Linked DNA regions of Arabidopsis thaliana. The protein of the gene in region 4 interacts with the protein of the main gene of each other region in a pairwise test. Each region holds a gene or a part of one and is shown on either strand. Other genes may lie near its edges. The genes, in order: TIR1, AXR4, AGP27 and AUX1.

Region 1 (5,966 bases), on a different chromosome or scaffold from region 4:
TGTCTGCAGGTTTCAATTCTCTGCAATGACTGCAACAAGGGGAGTAAAGCTATGTTCCACATTTTGGGACACAAGTGCAGTGATTGCGGTTCATACAACACTCGGAGAATCTCAACGCCACAAGATCCAGTGAGTGAAACAGAGTGATCATTTTCTGAAGCCAACTCTTCTTCATTGAATTTTCCCGTCATTGGTCCAACCATAGAGCGATAGGGCTGTGTTCTGCTTATTTATTTTTGTTCTTGGCCTAAAAACACTTGAAACGGAAAATATCGTACTGTTATATAAATGGTATTACTGTGTTTAGTCATCATGTAAACTGAAAATTTGAAAAAGCTTGTTTTTCATATGAAAAACAACAGTTCAATTACATTGTGTCCTATCACACGTTTGACGATGATGCTATTCCAAGACCTTTACACAGAGCAAGATTCTCTTGTTTCTAATTATGGTGATAAAGAGAGTGTAGGGACCTGAGACGAAACTAGGTGCTGTTCCAAAACCGAAAAGGCTGCAAACAGTTCATTAAGCGGACAAAGGAAATGGCAAAGACAAAGAGAGAGAGAGATAGAAAACATTTAAAAGGATAAAAGAGTCCAAACAAAACAAGTAGAACAGTTACATTTTTGACATTGTCTTTTAAAAAAATCTCTTATCCTCTTAAGAAAAATACCCCACCAGGATCTCTCAGTGTAAGTAGCCAAATAAACATACAACAATCAATAATTCTTACATAAATAAAACAAAGCTCTCTTAGATCTCTCTTTCTCTCTCTCCACTTATTCATTGCTCATGAGCTTGATGGTTATATGAAGCAGCCGAGATTCAAATTATTGGCGACCGAGCTCTCTCATGTTCCTAAACCGGAACACGATTATATGGGATGATGAACAAGGATTAATGAAAAATGTACCTCGTTTCTTTGTCTTATAATCCGTTAGTAGTAATGATTTGCCTGGAAAACCTCATTGTTGAGTCTTGGTCCATGTTCCAGACGAAGCCAGGCATGTCAAATCGAGGACCAGCCACTGTTCGGTATATGAAGACTCTCTCAACAGGGCAGCTCTCTGGTCTCGAGTCCGGTGCACCCCGTTCATCGATGACTTCCACATTCAGCTTTGGCATCTTCTGTCCTAGTAACTTGCAGGCTCCAAAACTCACGGAACAAGAAGACATCCAAAGGGATCGCATTGTCTCCAGCTTTGAAGCATTGGCCAAAAGCGCCTTGTCTCCAAACGGGCAGTCCCTTATCTCTAGTTTCCTCAAGCTATCGCACCCGGACAAAACATGATGCATGCCTAAGTCACTGTCTCCTGCAAATGCCACTGAGAGCATTTCCATCTTCTTGGCATATGTCCCAATGTATTCAAAAACCTTGTCGGTCAAGAGGCCAGATAGAGAGAGGCGACGGAGATCCTTGCAGTGCTCTACTATGGCTCCAAATCCAATATCCAGTGGCTCTAGAGTCAGATAGTCTGGGGCTTTTGGCTCAATGATGCACAAACGGAAGCGAGTCATGTTGGGACGGTTCCTAGCAATGGTTATCAATGCAGCATTGGTCATTTGACGGCAGAAGTAGAGAACCGACTCGAGTTTTGGACAGCCCATGGAGACGGAGACAAGCCCCTGTTCCGTCAATGCCACATTTGGTTCCATGACAAAAGGCTCGGACGGAAACACTCTCAGCTCGCGTAGGTCCTTGCAGGTTGAAGCAAGCACCTCAAGACCAGCATCCTCGATGTAGTCAAGCACCTGTAGTCAATAATAAGTTAGAGCACAGTTACAAAAAGAAAAAGGCTTTAATGCTTATAATTCAGATATATTGCTCTATATCATTCAAATTTTTTAAGAAAACTATGAACATAAGCTTTCTCATACCATACAGTAAAATGACCTATTCCAAATTCATGTGTTAATGTATGTTAAAATGGACTCACCCAGAGGCGCTGCAGTTTAGGGCATTGACAAAGAAGCTTGACAAGATCATAGCTCTGGACTGTTGCATAACTCAGATTCAAAGTTGTAAGCCGACTGCAAACCGAATAAACTGCTGGAAGATAGGCAGGAACAGCATCCCAAAATCCAGATAAGCACCTCAATTCCTTGCACCCAGAGAGCGCTACAGATAAACCAGAGTAAACATCTGGTCGCACTTCTGCAGTGTACCCACCAGTGCCCAATTCCTCCAATTGAGGTGCTCTTTGAAGTAAAGTAGCCAATTTTTCAAGTGGAACAGCTCGGTTAAGCTTGAGAGACTTGAGATTGGGACACCTAGTCACCAGCCTTTCCAGAGCAGAGAAACTGACCTCAGATGCTAAGCAAGATATATTGAGTGATACCAAAGAAGTGTATGTATCTGGGAAATGGCTAAGCCAGTGGCCACTAACGTCGTCAACATCACTCTCTCGTAAGTCAAGCTCTTTCAGATTCCTGCATAAGAAATCACATAATTAGCATCGAGTGACCCACATTATACAACTTCGAGAACATAAACATTGCCTACAATACATGAGCATAATTGTCATTAATTTGTCCAAAGTTGTATTTGATACAATGTAGAAAGATCACTTTGGGAAACTATCTAAGCATAGAACAATAACAAATTACTAAATTTATCACGTGGAAGCAATGTGAGAGATGCTAAAACAGAGCTAAAGCGAGTAAAGAAGGGGAATCCGAAAACAGATCTAAGTTTCCCAACAAGGTAAAAAAAGAAAATTGAAAGTCCCCTACAAAAAGAAAAGTAACACACACAAAGCCAAATTGATTAGATTTCCCACCTCAGGAGATTCACTGAGAGCGAATAATCCAGGAATAAATAGATACACCACCGTTAAATAAGACCCACCAGAAAGAAAAAGAGAGTGGCTATAATAAGAATCTTCAGAAACGTGATTAAAACATATATCTTTTAGATACGCAAAATCTTGACCAAACCAAAAAAAAGCTCACAAAGACCAGAGTAACATCAGCAGGAACAACGCAGCAAAACCTATATGCCCAGATCAAATAACAAGTACATGAATTTGCTATAATTGAGACTTTATGTAGTATAATGAATATACAAATCACACACCAATAAGTTTAATACAAACAAAAGCTTCTTCCTAGAGACACAAGGGAGTCTTCTTGATGAAACAAAAAACATTCAGAAAAAGAATACCTGCAAGTGGCAGCGATAGCAGCGAGACCATCGGTGGAGAAGCCTTCGCAGGAAGAAAGCACAAGAACCTTAAAATTCTTAAAAGACTTGGCTATGAGCTCCAAGCAATCGTCGGTGACCACCATCCTCTTCAGCCTTATCTCTTCAAGCCACGTGTAAGACGAAGACATGGCCTCAATCCATGGATACACGTAACCTCCCCATCCGTCAGGTACCAAATTAAAGTCAGCAAAGTGAGGTTTTCCTTTAAGCTCCACGGATCTCACTTTCGGGAACCTCCTAATCACCGTCGCTGGACTCACGGCGTAGCAGTTCCCGATGAAGACTTTCCTCCTGCACCACCGCTCGATCTCGTACCATGACTTGCACACCAGAGAGACTGAGTTCCTATCCTTATCCAGCTGAATAAACGAGAACACATGCTCTAGTACCTCTTCTGGAAACGACAAGGCTATTCGCTTCTGCATTGCGGCCAAATAACCTCGAGATCTCGATGATCGAACCAGAGGAAGAAGTTGGACAGCGTTCGAAGAAGAGTTGAACAAGTATATATATATAACTCCCAAGGTTAGATCTGAGGCGCCATTAACGGAGATAATCTAGTTTCAAAGGAGAAGCTGAAACAAAGATGAAGAAGATAGATAGAGAGAGAGAGAGAGTGGGAAGAGAAGAGAAAAGGATAGGGGGAAGGAGAAGGAGGTCAAGTTAAAAAAGCCAACCATGGTTGGGTTAAAAGTTAACCGTGGTCAAACATATCCATGTGAGCCTTTTCGGTGATTGTGATTGTCGATTCTGATGATGACACGTGTCTTATAAGCTTCAAATACCAGCCGTCCGATTGAATGAAAGCGGGAGATTATCTTATCGACTGTGCAGAGAAGGGCAGCCGCAGAAAACGGGACGAGATATTGGAGAGGGGGGGTCGGCTTATCGCGGCTTCTATCAAAATAGCGCGAGAAGGAGATCAATGATAGGGTGTGGTAAGGTGTAGGAGAAGAGGGAATCTAATGATACGCGATGCACGGCTGGATATGAGGGGAAGCCCCGTAAATTGCGGGGACCACAACAGAATGTTAAAAAAAATACTAGACTACTAATGATCTGACGGTAACAAAACAATAAAAAAAGAAGCTATTACTGTTATTTATGATGACATCACAACCGTCCAATCATGTTTTGATGTGGAATCTGAGCATCTATCTCCTCCTATTATTAGTTTTGCATGTTCATTTATTTACCCACCACTTGGATTCATAAATAAACCATCAAGACTAATCACAGTTTCATTTTCTATTTTCTAGTAATATATAGTATTGATAAATTTGATTAACTAAAGTGTATCCTTTCTCATAGCATTAAAGTGAAGTAAATAGAGTTGAATGATGAATTAACATAACAAGAATCAGTGTTTTCGTGTGAGATTGGATTAAAACATTATTTGTATGTTTTTGAAGATTGCTGAATAATTTAAATTAAAATTGAAAGGATTGCACAAAAAAGAGTAAATGTGAGGGAAGTATCCAATAATTTAAAGTGAACAACTTTTATGAGTAGAGAAAGAAAAAAAGAGAGAGAAAGAATGGATACTGAAAAATTTGAATAAAGTAGAGAAGAAAGAAAGAAAGAAAGTGCAGCGTCGCATTTTAATCACGACCGTCAGATCTGGGACCCCTTTTTAACAGTGTACGGACATACATACATACACAATCGTGACTTTTAAAATTAATAATTACTTCTTAATTAATTTACCTCGTCTGGGTGTAATAAACGTATAAAAACTACAATTATTTCGGGCTCTGTCGCAAGTACAACGGCTTAGAGGAAAATAAATGGGTATTGAATTGACGAGAATGCCCTTCTTCTCGAAACAGTGTATGATGGGCTTTGCAGAGTCTGAGCATGGAGTTGATAGGTCTGTCCTGCCCTAACTAAAAAAACTTGTCACATTATCAAACTGTTCTATATCATCTTCGTATTACATACCATCCTGACCGTTTATCCACTTAAACTACTATTTAAAATATCGCACCTTTCTAGTTTTCTTTTTGAATGTACTGTTGATTAGTTCTTAAACCAAAAATAAAATCTAAAAATTATAATGACATACATACAAATACGAAGATTTTAAAAAAAAAAAATGTAGCAAGCAAGTGCTCAGAAATTGAGGTAGTAACGAAGAAAGAGATAATTAGGAAAAAACAAAGAGAGGGCTGAGTATAGTCAGATGGGAGAAGTGTGGAGCTGAGTTGTCTTGCACGTAATACGCTTAAGTTTTTTTAAAATTATAAGTTTTAATGTCGTCAGAAAAAGGGATTAACTTACACTGATATAATAAGAGGTCATTGATTATGAATTTTTTAAGGAAATGATTAGAATAATAATCCCACGCATGGCTCCCCCGCGAATCTCTCTTATTTCTTTCTCCTAGTCTCGGGTTTCGTACTCAAAACTAGCTTGCTCTTTGCTGTCTATTATCCCTTAATTATCTCCCTAATTATTTTTTTAATTATCTCTTCAGCGATATTAGATCCAACTCTGAATGAATTATAAATTGTGTACCTAAAAGCCGAGAATATTACAGACTGCATTATACTACTACTGTTTATGTGAGATAGAAATATGTGTACGCATGTGTGGACGGACATATATAAAAGAATAACATAGTACTATAGTATTTACATAATACTACTGTTTATATATAAGATAGATGATGAGTGATATATATAATGCGATTGATGAAGAGGTGGTGTACAAGTACAAGTAAAGTGGCACGTGATTTATAAAGCTAATTTGGATTATGTCT
Region 2 (4,391 bases), on a different chromosome or scaffold from region 4:
ATATAATATATAATGATGTTATATTATTTGATATATTAAACTTTTTATAAGTTTAAATATTAATAATGTTTTATAAAGTTTAAATATATAAATAATAATATTTTTAAAAAATAATTTTTTTTGCCTTTTAGGTAAATGACATAATAATAACTCTAAAAGTAAGGATTTAGAAGATTTAAATCGTTAATTAAATATTTTCATTCCTAAATAATTAATACGGTAGCATGACATTGTAAATAAGTTTAAATACAGAATTTGTTTATTTAAACAAAAAACGTTTAGTAAGAATAATATTTATTTAAACAAAAAATATTGTTTTAAAATATTATTAACAAATACGTTTATGCTAATTTTAAGGGATTAATATGAAGTTTGTTTGGATTAAATTTGATTGATAATGTGATTAACAATTTATATTAAGAATTTAAAGGAAAATTAATTATTTTGGAAAAAGATTTAATATTAATGGCATTGGGTTGTAAATAAGTCCAACTCTATGATTTATTTGTTAAAATGGCTGCAAAAATGTATATGTAGATATTTAAAAATATGATGACTTTAAGATATTTTTCTATTGAAATTTGATGACTTACAAACAAAAAGTACAAAACACAGATTCATATTTGGAAGTAGTATCTCAGACTTTAAACTCCCAAAAGAAAAATCTCAAAATAGTCATAAGATTAAGAGTACATCGTAAAATAATAACAAGAACTTCAAAAGGCATATCAAGTAGTAGTCCATTCCTCACCAAGACCATAAGCATCCGAGTAACCAGCATGGGCATGCCCGTGGCCATGATGATGGTCATGGTCATCACCAGCCTTTGCTTCTTCTAACACTTTCTGTACTTCCTCAGGGATAGGTTCTTCAGCAACCCGTCTGATGGATTTAGGGAGGAGAGAGACAAATTCTGATATGTAATCTGCAAGCTCGCCGGATTTGCTTTCCTGCATTATCAAAACGACCACAAGTTTTAAGGAATTAAACCCGAAAAACCACGATAAGTAAAACAACGAAAACCAATCTTGAACATACTCAAATATATACCCTTCAATGATACAAGTTCCAGTAAGAACTCTACACCTACTTGAAAACGTCACAGTTTCAGATTAATGTGCCTTTGCTATTTTACAACTAGAAGACCACACAAGTTTGTGTTCTTCAAACAAGTCAAGCAGCCCAAAAATAAAGGCTATAGAGCTAAAGATGCTCTGCTCCTACCGAGTAAAATACAAACTAATGGGAGAACAAAGTATGTTCAAGAGAACAATCCGATACTAACAATCTCAAAAATAGTTGATAAAGATGCTCTAAATTTTGAAATTGGATCTGGTTATAACTTTACTCATTACTAGAGATACATACTTGATTTTAGTATAAACACAAAACCTTCTGCTTTTGACCAATTCAATAAAACTAAAATGACTTAAAAGTCCGAAGAATATCTAACCTGAGGCCACCGGCTGCCTGAATGTGTGACAAACTTTGCTTTCGGAAGAGCCTTAGCTACACGTTGCCCCTCGTCACTCCATTCTTTAGACGCTTCACTAGACCAAATCACTTGCATCGGAATACCATTAATCCCATCTGAATTACCCCATTGTGCAATGTCAAAGCTATGGTTTAACTTGTTTAACGAAGCAACAACAGCTTCTCTCCCATTTCTTCCCTTCAAAAGTATCCTATGAGCATCAATATCCGATAAAGTCATCTCCTTTGAGCACCGGAAGCTCACTAGCTTCTCAAAACCAAACGAAAACGCTAACAAAATCTCTCGAATCCCCGGTACATTCAAAACCCACAACGGCAAAGCTGGACTAATACTAGAGTCAATAAGAGTTACACTTCGAACACTTTGCCAATTCTCAGAAACCCAATTCGAAGCTAACCCTAAAGCTGAATCATGAAGAACCAAATGCACAGGAGCTAAACCCAAAGTATCAATCACTTGACCTAAAACTCTAGCAGTTTCTTCACTCCCTAACTCGATAGCTTTGAAGCTTCTCCTTTTCGAATTCTGAAGCTTTATGATCTCCTCATAAGGCAAATCTCCAGTTTCAATCATCTGATCAAAAGCCCAAAACACACCTTTCTCTTGAATCAAACCATAAACTTCCTTAACTCTAGCCACAAACCCTATCTCTCTATCTCCACCAATCACTACCATTGACTTATCAGAGAACCCATTTCCAGGTAAATCAATAGCAACACTATGGATCCCTTTTGATCCAAGAGATTGAATCATTTCCTTAAAAGCAAACGAACTTAGACCTAACCCATGAACGATTACAACAGTCTCTGTATGAATCGAACCTGATTCAGCTACAAAGACTTCAATTGGTGACTCGTTTGAGTTTACTTGGACTTTGATTGTTCGTCCATTTGAGTAATGTTGACGAAGAGCTGGTGGGAGTGAGAGAAACCAAGATCTTGGATCGTTTTGAGAAGAGAACAGAGAGAGAGATATGAAGATGATTGTGGCTAGTGAGACGACTACTGTAAAGTAGAACCAAAATGGGAAAGGGTTTTGAGATTGGGGTTTAGGGTTCTTCATAGTTGATTCAGATTTCGTAAAGTCAGAGTCTTTAGGTTTGTTCTTCGGTGGATTTAGGGTTTTTGGATCCTCTTCTTCTTCTGTGATAATCGCCATTAAAGAAAGCTTGGAACTTGAGAGAATGTGAGAGAAGTGTGGTGATGTCTTTTAGGACAAAAGGCATTATAATAATAGTAATAATAAAAGAGCAGACTTTTCTGCAAAAGTGGACAAGAGAAACATCATTCAAGGAGCGTGTTTAAAGATGACACAAACAGAGAAACAAATTTTGATTTTGTTCCTAGTCTTTTGCCAATTGTGGGGTATAGTTTTTCACTAATGAATTCCAAAACCTATGGAAACCATAACTCTGTTTTCACTACACATTACAAGGTATATGAATGAACAAACAAATGGGTACAACAAAAAGACTAGGATATTAAAGGTTTGACACCAATAGAAGATAGTGGATGAAAGGGTCAACGATGTAAAACCAAGCTCTGCTCCAAAATCCAAATGGTTTTGTGACAAATTCTATTTCAGTACGGCCCTTGCCAAATAGTCCACACTCCACAGGATCTAACACAAGCAAGGATTTGAACTATGTACTGATGATATTTTATGTCGCAGTGGACAGCCCCGGCCCAACAATTATAACTATAAGAGCCTTGGGGCAACAAATATTTTTAAGAGTTTTTTCTTATCAAATATTCTAATGTTTTGGGTTCTGATTCATACTAATTTGTTTTGGGCCTTATTTTAATATTTTTCAAAAATAAATGGGTTTTTAATCTATGAGTTTTTAAACATTTGGATGAGCTTTAGGCATGTGCACCTCTGCCTTATCCACTTGGGCCGGATGGTAGTGGAGTTTTGTTCAGGATCATAAGTAGTGAAGACATCATAAAGACTGTAACCAATCTCATAATTATGAAAATATGATTCATCCACTTTCCTCCCACCATACTGCTGAGACAAGATGCTATGAATCCATTGTTAGCAAGATCCAAAAGGTGGATGTTCCTTAGATCACACAACTGGTGAGGAATATGACATGTTAAATTATTATCCCATAAAACAAGAACACTTATGTTTTGAATGTGGATGAACTTGACAACTTGTTAATTTTCATAACAGGTATGGTAACATTGGCTACAAATGTCTTTGGAACAGCCCCTAATAAATTATTGCCTTGTAGAAATAATGCTACGAAATATAGAGATTTGATATCCAAATATGTTGCTTCCCGAGAGTTCCATTAGCAAATGACTGGACTTGTTTGTGACTCTCCAATTGCAACCGTCCATAGGTCTCATGTCCTCCCCTAGTCTATTGGCCCATCCTTTGTCTAGCGGTTAGTTCGCTACTTCCAGGGGTTTTAAAGACTTGGTTACCAATCCTATAAATCATTATGTGATATTTTCCCGTATTTTATCTTCATTTATACAGTACACACTACGAGAAATCAATTCTCGGTTACCCATCCTCAAATTAATCGAGTTCAAGAACATTCAATTCTAGAGTACTCTCGAGATGTTTAATTGAAAATATAAGGACATTGTGGTGATATACATAACCATATAAATTCTTTTTAAGATTTGCTCATGCACCACTATACTTCCATATTATGGGATGTTATTTTGTTGAACAACGAAAGAGGTATTTCACCTTCCACCATGTTGTTTGAATCAGTAGTACATATAAGGAAAAAGTTCACAAATTCAAATTGGATTAACTCCTATGAGATTGTTGTTCAAATTTCAAGCATATACAAAGAACTAAAGCTTCGAATACCTTGTTCATTCTCTCCCGGAACCATTGTGAAATATATCCAAATATTCAGTTTCTTTCATGT
Region 3 (3,212 bases), on a different chromosome or scaffold from region 4:
ACCCTATAATGTGAAAACAAGAAACGTCCTTTACATATTTCTTCTCACCTAGATATTATTAATTTTAATATTGAGACTTTGAAACCCCAGAAATAAGATAAAGTGTGGGACAAGAAAAGAAGGCACCTTTTTTTGTTGTTGCTTTTAGCCGTGAGGCCAGCATATGCAGTAACTCACATGCATGCGCCTCTAACCTTGTGGCATTTTAGGAATTATGCAATAATGCACTATACTTAAATACGTTAATTCACAAAGTAATACATTCATTCAGTTCATAAACACGTCTCAAGATTAAGACAAAAATAATCATAAAAAACTGGTGTTTTACATAAACTTATGTCGAAATTAATTAGTAGTCTACATATAATTACTCAAGTGTTATTTGCATGTAAACAGTACAAATTTTTGGAACGTTTGATTTTGATACTACTATAAACTGCAGTATACTGTAAAGCATGCATATGACGTCACTTTAATTTGAAACGTAATTTCAACTTTTTCAAAAGGTTCTTTAGCTTAGCGATAAAAAAAAAAAAAAAAGTTAGTGTATAGTAAACGAACAAATGAAATGAAAAGAAGAGAAAAGTATAAGTCCTCAAAGTGTATTGAATCACTTAACGGTAAATTAGTTTTTATTTTTATTTTTATCCAGAGTTCTTAAGTTAATTATGCATCAATTATGTGGTTCTGACGTAATATATTACTTGCGTTTTTCATCTAAACCAATCTAAAACTGTAACAAAATGTTAAGTGGAGAACAATAAAAAATACAAATAGTAAAAAAAAATTGAAAATCAAACTAAATCTAATTTTATTCGTTATTTTTAGGGGACAAATAAACTCATGAAAATAATGACGTACGTGGTCTAAAATATATGAATGACCTATATAGCTGAAACGGCAAGAAGCCGGAGCGAGAAACAATAGACGGCGGCGAAGACAAAGTAGATGAAAACTCCGGGAGCTTGAGAAGACAGAGAAGCAAGAGATGAAGCCGGAGGAGAAGCCGATGGAGCGAAGGCGGGATCAGGATCTGCGGAAACGTCGTCGTTTTCTGGTTCAGGAAGTGTTGAAGAAGAAGGGATGGTTTGAGTGGAGGAGACGGCGGGTGAAGGGAGGAGAGGAGCGATCTCCGGTGAGATCTTTTCTTCAGAGGGAGAGATTGTTTGCGAAGATGGGATTGTATTTGTCGTCGGCGAAGAGAGAGAAAGTGAGGAGAGAAAGATGAAGGTGATGAGTGTTAGCAATATAGATGAAGCCATCTTTTTTGGTTACTGTAATGATGAACAAATCAAAGCTGAGTTGTTTTTTTCCTTAACTGATGAGAGCGCATTTTGTGTTGTAATAATGATACTGTCTCTATAAAAGAAAACTTTTAGCTCTAATAGTAAAATATTATAAATTGATTTTAAATGGAATTTGTCTCACCTTTTTCCAAAAAGATTATTATTTATCAATTTAAAGGATGTGTTCGGTGGAAAAGAAAATATATTTGCTGAATTCTTGAAGATGGGCGTAGATCGAGTTTTCACTTTTTAGTAGAAGCTCTTATATATTGCACATATTTTCGAATAAACATGTGCTTTACTTTTTGCTGAAAAATATTATGTTAATGCAAATTATACATATTGCTAAGTACGAGTAAAGGCATCTCCATCCATGAGAAACCTACAAAGTTTCTAAAACAAAAAAAATATTAATATTATATTATAATTTAATTATTTGATTAAAAAAGTAATTTTGTTAAAAAATTGAATCAATAGTGAGATGAGAATTGTCATGATGGGTTGTAGAGAATATCTCAAAATTTTTCAAGTGAGAAACTTTCTACATTTTCTCTCCTTCATTTTCATTATTTTTATTTTTTTAATTGTGAAAAACTCTTATGAAATACCTTCAATGGAGATGGTCTAATTACGTTTGTTGTTGCCTCGTTGGATGTTCAAATAAAAAGCACATTTTATATTGGGTTGTTCCTAAACAAATATTTTGTTGTCTTTTGTACTAAAGTTTATTGGCGAGTTAAGAAAAGCTTTGTGGTGTGTGGGAATTATTATTATTATTTATTATTTATTGTTCTTTAGTTTGCTATGCAATTCGAGCCCACTAAAGAGGCTTCCTATGGGCCCAAAAAACGCAGCCCACTATTGTAGTGCAAAACGTGCTGAGTTTTCTACATTGCATGCCCAACAATGGCCACCAGTGTAGTTAAAGACTCAAGAACTTGCTGACCTCTATTTGTTTGACTTTCTTTTTTGTGTGAACAAAATCACATATTGTTGATGTCATTTGTTCTGCTATAATTCTTAACTTCAGATTACAGATAACGAATTTTCTCTTGATGATTTAAACAAACATATATAATTGTCAATATCAGAAAATGAAAAGGAGATATAAATAATTTTTTTTTGCGCCTAATCGAAACTTCACCTACCATTTTTTAGCGTATAAAAACGTTAAAAATACCAAAATTTAGAAATCCAATAAAAGTTGTGAAAAAAAGCCGCAAAGGGTCGTTGTTGTTTGTCGCCTCTCAATGGCAGCTTCTTCAACTAATGCTCGTCTCACCAACCCTCCTCGTCTACTCTCCAAACCCCGACTTTCACCTACCTCCGTCGCCAATCTCCGTTTTCCAGCCGCCGATTTCTCCACTCGCTTCTTTGCCGATTCTTCGTCCCCGCGGCTAAGGAGTGTACCGTTTCCGGTGGTATTTTCCGATCAAAGGCGCCGGCGAAGCATGGAACCTAGCAATGTCTATGTTAGTGATTCTTCCTTTAGTTCAGTTTTCTTTTGTTGTTTTCTGTTCCGTTTTTATTGGAGAAGGATAGGTAATGATGAATTTGCAGATTTATCGCTTCAAATAAATTTGGTATTAGTTTTGGATGAAGACTTTGATGTTTCGTGTACAACATTGGTTTAGCTATTTAGAATCGATCTTCAGAATTTTTGTTTAGTTCTGAGAAGTAGTTGGATTTTTAATTGATTGTGGAATTTATCCTGTTTTGTGATCTCAGGTGGCTTCAAATTCCACGGAAATGGAGATCGGAAGTCATGATATCGTGAAGAATCCGAGCTTGATCTGTGCTCCAGTGATGGCGGATTCAATAGACAAGATGGTGATTGAAACGAGTAAAGCCCATGAATTGGGTGCAGACTTGGTTGAAATTCGATTAGATTGGCTAAAGGACTTCAATCCTCTTGAGGATCTAAAA
Region 4 (6,506 bases):
CTTTTTTATTTTGACCCCCAACAAAAAAAAAGTCAGATGGAAAGTACAAGAATCGGACTCTGGATTCAAACGAGAATATTAGTTAATAATTTTACATATATAGTTATAATCTTTGGGGGCAAAGTACATGTGAAAGCAGAGCATATGATAAGGGGTAAACGATTGAGTACGAATGGAACGAACACATGCCATATTTAATATGAGGGACAGGAACGGTCCTCTGATCCATTCTTTTGATCAGAGAGAAGATGAAGAGTGTCAAGTAAATAATGGCACGTGACTCGGACGAAGTATCCACGTGCGTCCTCTCCCCACACCCATGTGGCCCATAGGATATATGACCGGCTCCGTCGGTCCAACTTGTCCATGTTCCCCTATTTAATTTTTAAACACACCCTGCCGTTAAATCAAATTTTCCAAATAAATTAAAGTGTTATTTCAAAATTTTAATGTAAACTTAGTAGTATTGTCGCTGTGCTATGATCAAAACTGTATAATTAAAAGATCTAATAGGATCCTAAAGAATTATCTAGTATCGGAAGATATTGTTCATGGTAAAATAGTTTATATAAGTCTAATTAGGATAAATGTATAAGATAAGAATTGTTTTTTGTTACTAAAGACAAGTAAAAGGAGAGAAGACGATACATTTTCTTAGCCTATTGTTTTAACAATACCAAATTAAGAAATCACACACTACATATTATCGACTATTCAATTTTAAAAAAAAAACTAAGGAGTGAAAACAAAAATACAAAACCCCAAAAGAGAAAAAAATAATTAAGAGCTTAGCACGCATTTAAAGGGGTGTGTAAAAAGTACACTATTTTCGTGACTTTTACTCCCTTCACGTATACGAACACAAAACACAAAAGAAGAACAAATAATTTTAAGAACCCTCCACAAACGCATTAGAAGAACCCTGACTCGATCTCTCAAAGACGGTGGTGTAAAGCGGAGACCGGGGCATGTGCGGCGGCTGCAGCTGGTTTACATTGGTAACACTTGGCAAAGAGACCAAAAGTGTCGACTTGACGAACAAAGTTGGTTACACTAGCCCATCCACCGAACCCAAATCCGACTATAAGAACCCAAACCACCACGAAAGCATTCAACACGTACATCGCCGTCCAGCTCGGCATAAAGAACGGTGGCTTCTCCGCCGCATTCTACAAGAAAGATCCAAAACACAAAAATAATCAGAGAACCATTAAAGAAATAGAGAGTGTGTAAGTGTTTTAGAGTTTTGGTCGTATAGTAATGGACAAAATCCAAAGCTTTGTTGACCCATGAGATAGAGAGAGAGAGAGAGAGATATGATTGTGATTTGTCATACTCAGACTCTCACTTTAGATTAATGTTAGGCATAGAGTCCCTATTGTACAGCTCCTTTTCATTTCTGATTATGACTCTTACCTATTCCTCTCCCCTATTTTCCTCTACTTTTATCTTACGTAAATTTAATATACACTGTTTTGAAAGAGAGAAAGAAAAAGAAGTCATGGTCAATTACTAATACTAACCTAACCGGATATTGTATTTTTTCTTCTAAATGTAACCAAATAAAGAAATGGCTGAAACCAACTCAATAATATATTATTTGGAGGGGACGCCAGTAAGGAATGTGGGTGATGATCCTATCTTCCGTAAGATACGGAACACTGAACCCCATCTATCTTCCACAAAAGACGTTTTTGCCCTCCAATTTCACAACCCTACCCCCCAACTATAATATTCCTCCACCGACTCTTCATTTCATTTCTAAAAAATTATTGGTAACTCAATGTATTTTAGGTTAAGTTCGAGTTTTGAAACGCTAAAAGAGAGTGAGCTAGTAAAGATGTTATACCTGACGAGCGGAGGCAGATCGGTAAGTGAGCATGTGAGCGAGAGATGGGATGATATAGACGGTGAAGCTAACAAGAAGAGCACCGACAGCGGAATTGATTGGACCGAAAAAGGGGAAGATAATAGCTAAGAACCAAATAGGTATGACCACAGGCAATCTAGCCAAAGCCCTTAAGCAAATGCTCTTTGTGTCATGCATCCCAATCACTTTCTCCCACACAAAGTACAAAGGTGTACAAGCGAACCCGAACGTTATAAACTGCACGAACAAGAACACGTTGCATTAATCTCTCATGATCAAAATTTACTTAAAAAAGAAAGAACAAAAATGTTGTATGTGTATACCTGATGAATGAGCATGAGGATAACAGCGGCGTCACGCCACGCGTTCTTGGGCATAAGAGAGAAAGCGTTGGAGTGGTCGAGAAGTGCGTCTCCGAAAGCCCAGTAAACGGCGGCAGCTGACGGAATCGTTAGCGTGAACACGTATAACGTCGCCATCAAGTAAATGTACTTAAACTTCTGTGGTTTCCACATAGCATGCATAATCTCACTGCAAATTAGAAATTACTGTTAATATTCATAATTTCATCCAAAACTTTAACTATGTAAAAGATTGGATTCACAACAATCATTGACGCATAAAAAGGGTGTATTTGACATTTCGCAAAAGCGTACTATTCCTACTAGTAGTAGTAGTGCTTTGGTAGCAATAGTGTTTGTTATTCTTTATAGGGATAGGAATAATAATGGTTATTCTATTTTATATTTAAAAAGAGCTTATTTTATTAGTACTACTATTTTAAGGATTGCTAAAAATAATAATGACAATCATGATGACTGTAATAATAGTTACACCTTATTTGCCGGCAAAAGCTGCAATAGAAGCGGCGAAGAAACGATACAGCAGCACCCATAATTTAATAATATGGCACCATTTTAATTTACCATATACTTTTTCTGCCATTTAGCTTTAACTTAAATAGTAATTCAACTATGTCTGACAAAATTTATTGATCTTTTATTAGATACAAAATTAATAATCATTAAGAAATCAAAAGAAGAGTAACTTACACAGTAACCGCGTGACCTCCAAAGGTGTACAAAATATTTGTGGCTCCCGTAAAATAAAGCACTAGCTTTGTTGGACCTGAATGTTTCACACCTTCCGCCTAAAATAAACAACAAAAAAAAAATTTGATTAGGAGAATATTAAACAGCTAATTTTGTCTAAGTTATATTATACATACACTTTTTAATACAAATTTGGGTTAAGATGCAAAGAATAATCCCTGATCTTAAAGAGAAAATACGAATTTTTTTTATTCTTCTTTTTAATTAAGGCATATACTGTCACCTCAATGCAAAGCATATAAATATGAAAACGACAGTGTAGTGATCTTTATAATGTGATGAAATATATTTTTGGTGAAATATATTAAAACATTACCTGGCCGTGGATGATGGAGGCAATGGCTAAGTACCAAGCGGTGTAAGTGGTCATTCCAAGGCCAAGGAATGACCAAATTCGGTAATTGTGAAACGACGGTATAAAGACAGTGGTTGCACAACACGCGCCAAATATGTAAGTCCATGTTCTCTTGTCCAGATGATCGTTTATGTAATAAATGTTACTGCAAGTAAACACCAATCATATTTCAATTATCCTCCATTCTTAATCATTAAAGAGTGATTAAAAAGATAAAGAGAATGATTAAAAGATAACAGACCTGGCACAAGCAATGAGTTGGATAACAGATCCAAACAAGAGGAAAGTGCAATTAAATGCGAGTCCTAGTGCTTTCCAGTATGAACCAAGTAATCCATCAAGTACTTCAAACCACTGTTGAGATTTTTAAAAGTGTTAGATTAGTGAAAGATAATTATGATTTAGTGATTCTGATTAGAGAGAGAGGGTTTAAAGAGGGGACCTGAATGACGTGGTTTTTGAAGCTTTTGCCTTCTTTTTCTTTACGAGCTCTGTATTCGACGTAGAGAACAGAGATGAGATAAGCAGTCCAGCTTCCTAGTAAACCATAGAAGATCTGAAGTACTATTCCTGATAACATTCCTAGTTGACTAAACGAGTACGGTAATGTCAATAACACTTGAGCCACCTGAAACCAACGATAATTACTACAAATCAGATCTTTCTTCACTATGAGAAATCCGAAATTTTGAATCTTTAGTTTATGGTTTTATTGGTTTACTTGGTTAGATGCGCAGCTGAACCAAGCGTCCCAGACAGAGCCACCGTGCCATAGGAAATTGCTTAGGTTAGAACCGGTGGAGCCGTCGTGTTCTTCGTTATCTTTCCCGGTACGGTTTCCGTTTACCTGATCTGTTCCGTTGTCATTTGCTACTATCGCTTCTACTCCTTCCGACATTTTTTTAGCTTCTAGATCTGAGAAATAAAACAGAGCGAAAGAATCGATTGTGTTTAGTAACTAAGTGAAAACAGAGAGGAGAAAACAGAGCACATAAGAGACTGAGAGAGATCTCAATCTTGGAGAATTCAAGAAGATAAAACAGAGAGGGAAAGAGAATTGACAGTTCTTTGTTCACGTTTTTTCTCTTCTTCAGTGTGAAAAAAGAGAGTAGAGAGAGTGACTTACGTTTTCTTCTATTAGAGAAGAGAAAGAATCAGAAGCAAGAAAGACCCAAGAGTGGTTTTTGTCCGTTTGAGCTGTCACTTGTTTCTTCTCTTTTCACTTTTGTTTAAGAAAATCTCAACTCTGTACTGTTTCTTCTGTGTCTTAAAAGAAACAGAGCATAAGAAGAGAAGAACCCAGAAATGTGCAGAGGAGGAAAGAGAGAGAGAAGGGAAGGAGAAGACTTTGATCAGAGCAAAAGAAGGAATGAAGCTAAAAATACTATAAGATGCTTCGGGCTTCACCCCCTACTCCTCCTTTTTATATACCAATCTCTCTTTTTCATTTTTTCTTACTTCTCTTTGGTTTTTTTATGTAATTTTAAAAATATTAAACAGGTGCTGTAAAATCACACCATTAACTTTTGTTTAGGTAACGGTAGCATCTTACTTTTTTTTACGTTTTCGCATTGAATATTAATGTGACTATTTGACATCCAGAATTTCCGGCTTCTTCTACTATCCAATAATAAATTAAAACATAACGCCACATGGGTTCAAAATACATAAAATCGTATTTTACTATATTTCATCTACTAAAAAGCATTAGTTGTGTGACGAAAACGTATCATTTAATTCGAAATATTTAAGATATGATGACAAACAAATAATGCAACGTATTAATGTTTGACGATTTATTGACTTGTTATAGGATATAAATTAAGAGCATACTCAATGGTGGTTTCTAACCATAGTTTCTAATCTACTAAAATAATAATAAAATAAGAAATAATATTATTTAATTTGAAAAGTTTCTAAAAATAGTTAGAAGAGTCTTCAAAATCTCTTGAATTAGAAACTCTCTCACATTTCCTTATAAACTATCTTAATTAAATAATATTATTTATTATTTTATTATTATTATTATAGGTTAGAAACTTTGCTTAGAATCCACTACTGGATTTGCTCCAACATATCTAGATTTAGATATCTTCACTTTTGTTTTTTTTCAACAGCTATCTAAATTTAATACCGTACCTAAAACTAGGATGGACAGATCAATAATCTGCATGTTTTTAGAGTTTAAGGAAAACGTAATCATCCTTTGGTTTGGTTATATGATCAACCACTAAATACAAGTTTTTCACATCATTCTTATTCTAGATTACTAGCTGGAATAATCTATTCTATGGTCTAAAGTTCAAATTTTTCAATTTTTTATCCTACAAAAATTAAAGAGCAGACAAATTTAAGACACCTGATCGTCGACCGAAGGCTCATGTTTTCAGTGATCATGAGTTTGCAAAATACTCATTAGTCATTAGCATTTGCCCATCAAAGAAATAATTGGGTACTACTATACGGCATATACCAAATACTACATGATACTAAGAAATGATTGGATACTACGCCATACTCTCTCTTATACGCATATTAACACATATAGTTGGAGTATTATCATGATGAAACTAGAATTTTCCATGTTAATTATCTGACGGCTAACATAAATCATTTAGAAATAGTTGAACAGTTTAATAATTTTATGTTTGAATGATCTATAACCTATTTTCTAATTATTTCAAGTTAAAATATCTCTTTCGTTTAAATTAGTAAGATAAAAAAATATTGGCAGTAAATATAAATCATTGAATTCATATGAAATCTCAATCCTTAGATGAAATAGTAATGTAAAATAGTATTTTCTACAATGCCATTCCTGGATACATGTTAATTATTCATACTTTCTCCTAAGGTCAAAGGTAGGTAGGCATTAATATATATTGGTCTAATATGAGTCTTACTATTTTTGATACTATAAGTTATAAAATTTTGTTAATAAATTGGATATATATAGTATCATGTTCATTTTTCACTTTGCTGTTTTAAAAATATTATATTGATGTGCACTGTACGAATTCTCACGTAGTGTGAATATTAGTGTGACAACCTTTGTTTCCAAGTTTTGTAAGTAACTTGCTTGCTCAGCTGCTAAACCTCTCAGTGTTCTCACTAGTCATTTTCTCTAATTATATGGCTCGACAATACTTAAATGTTGGATACGTTATCG

The links.
Region 1: the proteins of AUX1 (region 4) and TIR1 interact in a two-hybrid assay, tested with the Arabidopsis thaliana proteins (one study listed by BioGRID).
Region 2: the proteins of AUX1 (region 4) and AXR4 interact in binary tests that used the Arabidopsis thaliana proteins (3 or more experiments, as listed by UniProt).
Region 3: the proteins of AUX1 (region 4) and AGP27 interact in a protein complementation assay, tested with the Arabidopsis thaliana proteins (2 studies listed by BioGRID).

Annotation. Positions count from the first base shown.
Region 1 is NC_003074.8:23,272,552-23,278,517, forward strand, and holds TIR1 (F-box/RNI-like superfamily protein), read right to left. Parts: upstream 4,080-5,966; 5' UTR 3,631-4,079; coding exon 3,164-3,630; intron 2,431-3,163; coding exon 1,938-2,430; intron 1,753-1,937; coding exon 928-1,752; 3' UTR 514-927; downstream 1-513. Other genes in the region: AT3G62970 (zinc finger (C3HC4-type RING finger) family protein), read left to right, coding at 10-147. UniProt on the Arabidopsis thaliana protein: Auxin receptor that mediates Aux/IAA proteins proteasomal degradation and auxin-regulated transcription.
Region 2 is NC_003070.9:20,509,827-20,514,217, reverse strand, and holds AXR4 (alpha/beta-Hydrolases superfamily protein), read right to left. Parts: upstream 2,700-4,391; 5' UTR 2,654-2,699; coding exon 1,454-2,653; intron 951-1,453; coding exon 729-950; 3' UTR 537-728; downstream 1-536. UniProt on the Arabidopsis thaliana protein: Required for the auxin influx facilitator AUX1 polar trafficking and its asymmetric localization within the plasma membrane. Not involved in the PIN proteins localization.
Region 3 is NC_003074.8:1,927,026-1,930,237, reverse strand, and holds AGP27 (arabinogalactan protein 27), read right to left. Parts: upstream 1,371-3,212; 5' UTR 1,263-1,370; coding exon 885-1,262; 3' UTR 554-884; downstream 1-553. Other genes in the region: MEE32 (dehydroquinate dehydratase, putative / shikimate dehydrogenase), read left to right, coding at 2,537-2,758, 3,015-3,212. UniProt on the Arabidopsis thaliana protein: Proteoglycan that seems to be implicated in diverse developmental roles such as differentiation, cell-cell recognition, embryogenesis and programmed cell death.
Region 4 is NC_003071.7:15,971,222-15,977,727, reverse strand, and holds AUX1 (Transmembrane amino acid transporter family protein), read right to left. Parts: upstream 4,853-6,506; 5' UTR 4,464-4,852; intron 4,253-4,463; 5' UTR 4,236-4,252; coding exon 4,059-4,235; intron 3,966-4,058; coding exon 3,780-3,965; intron 3,692-3,779; coding exon 3,579-3,691; intron 3,483-3,578; coding exon 3,299-3,482; intron 3,021-3,298; coding exon 2,923-3,020; intron 2,402-2,922; coding exon 2,194-2,401; intron 2,108-2,193; coding exon 1,850-2,107; intron 1,762-1,849; coding exon of another isoform or gene 1,756-1,761; exon of another isoform or gene 1,170-1,755; coding exon 936-1,169; 3' UTR 548-935; downstream 1-547. UniProt on the Arabidopsis thaliana protein: Carrier protein involved in proton-driven auxin influx.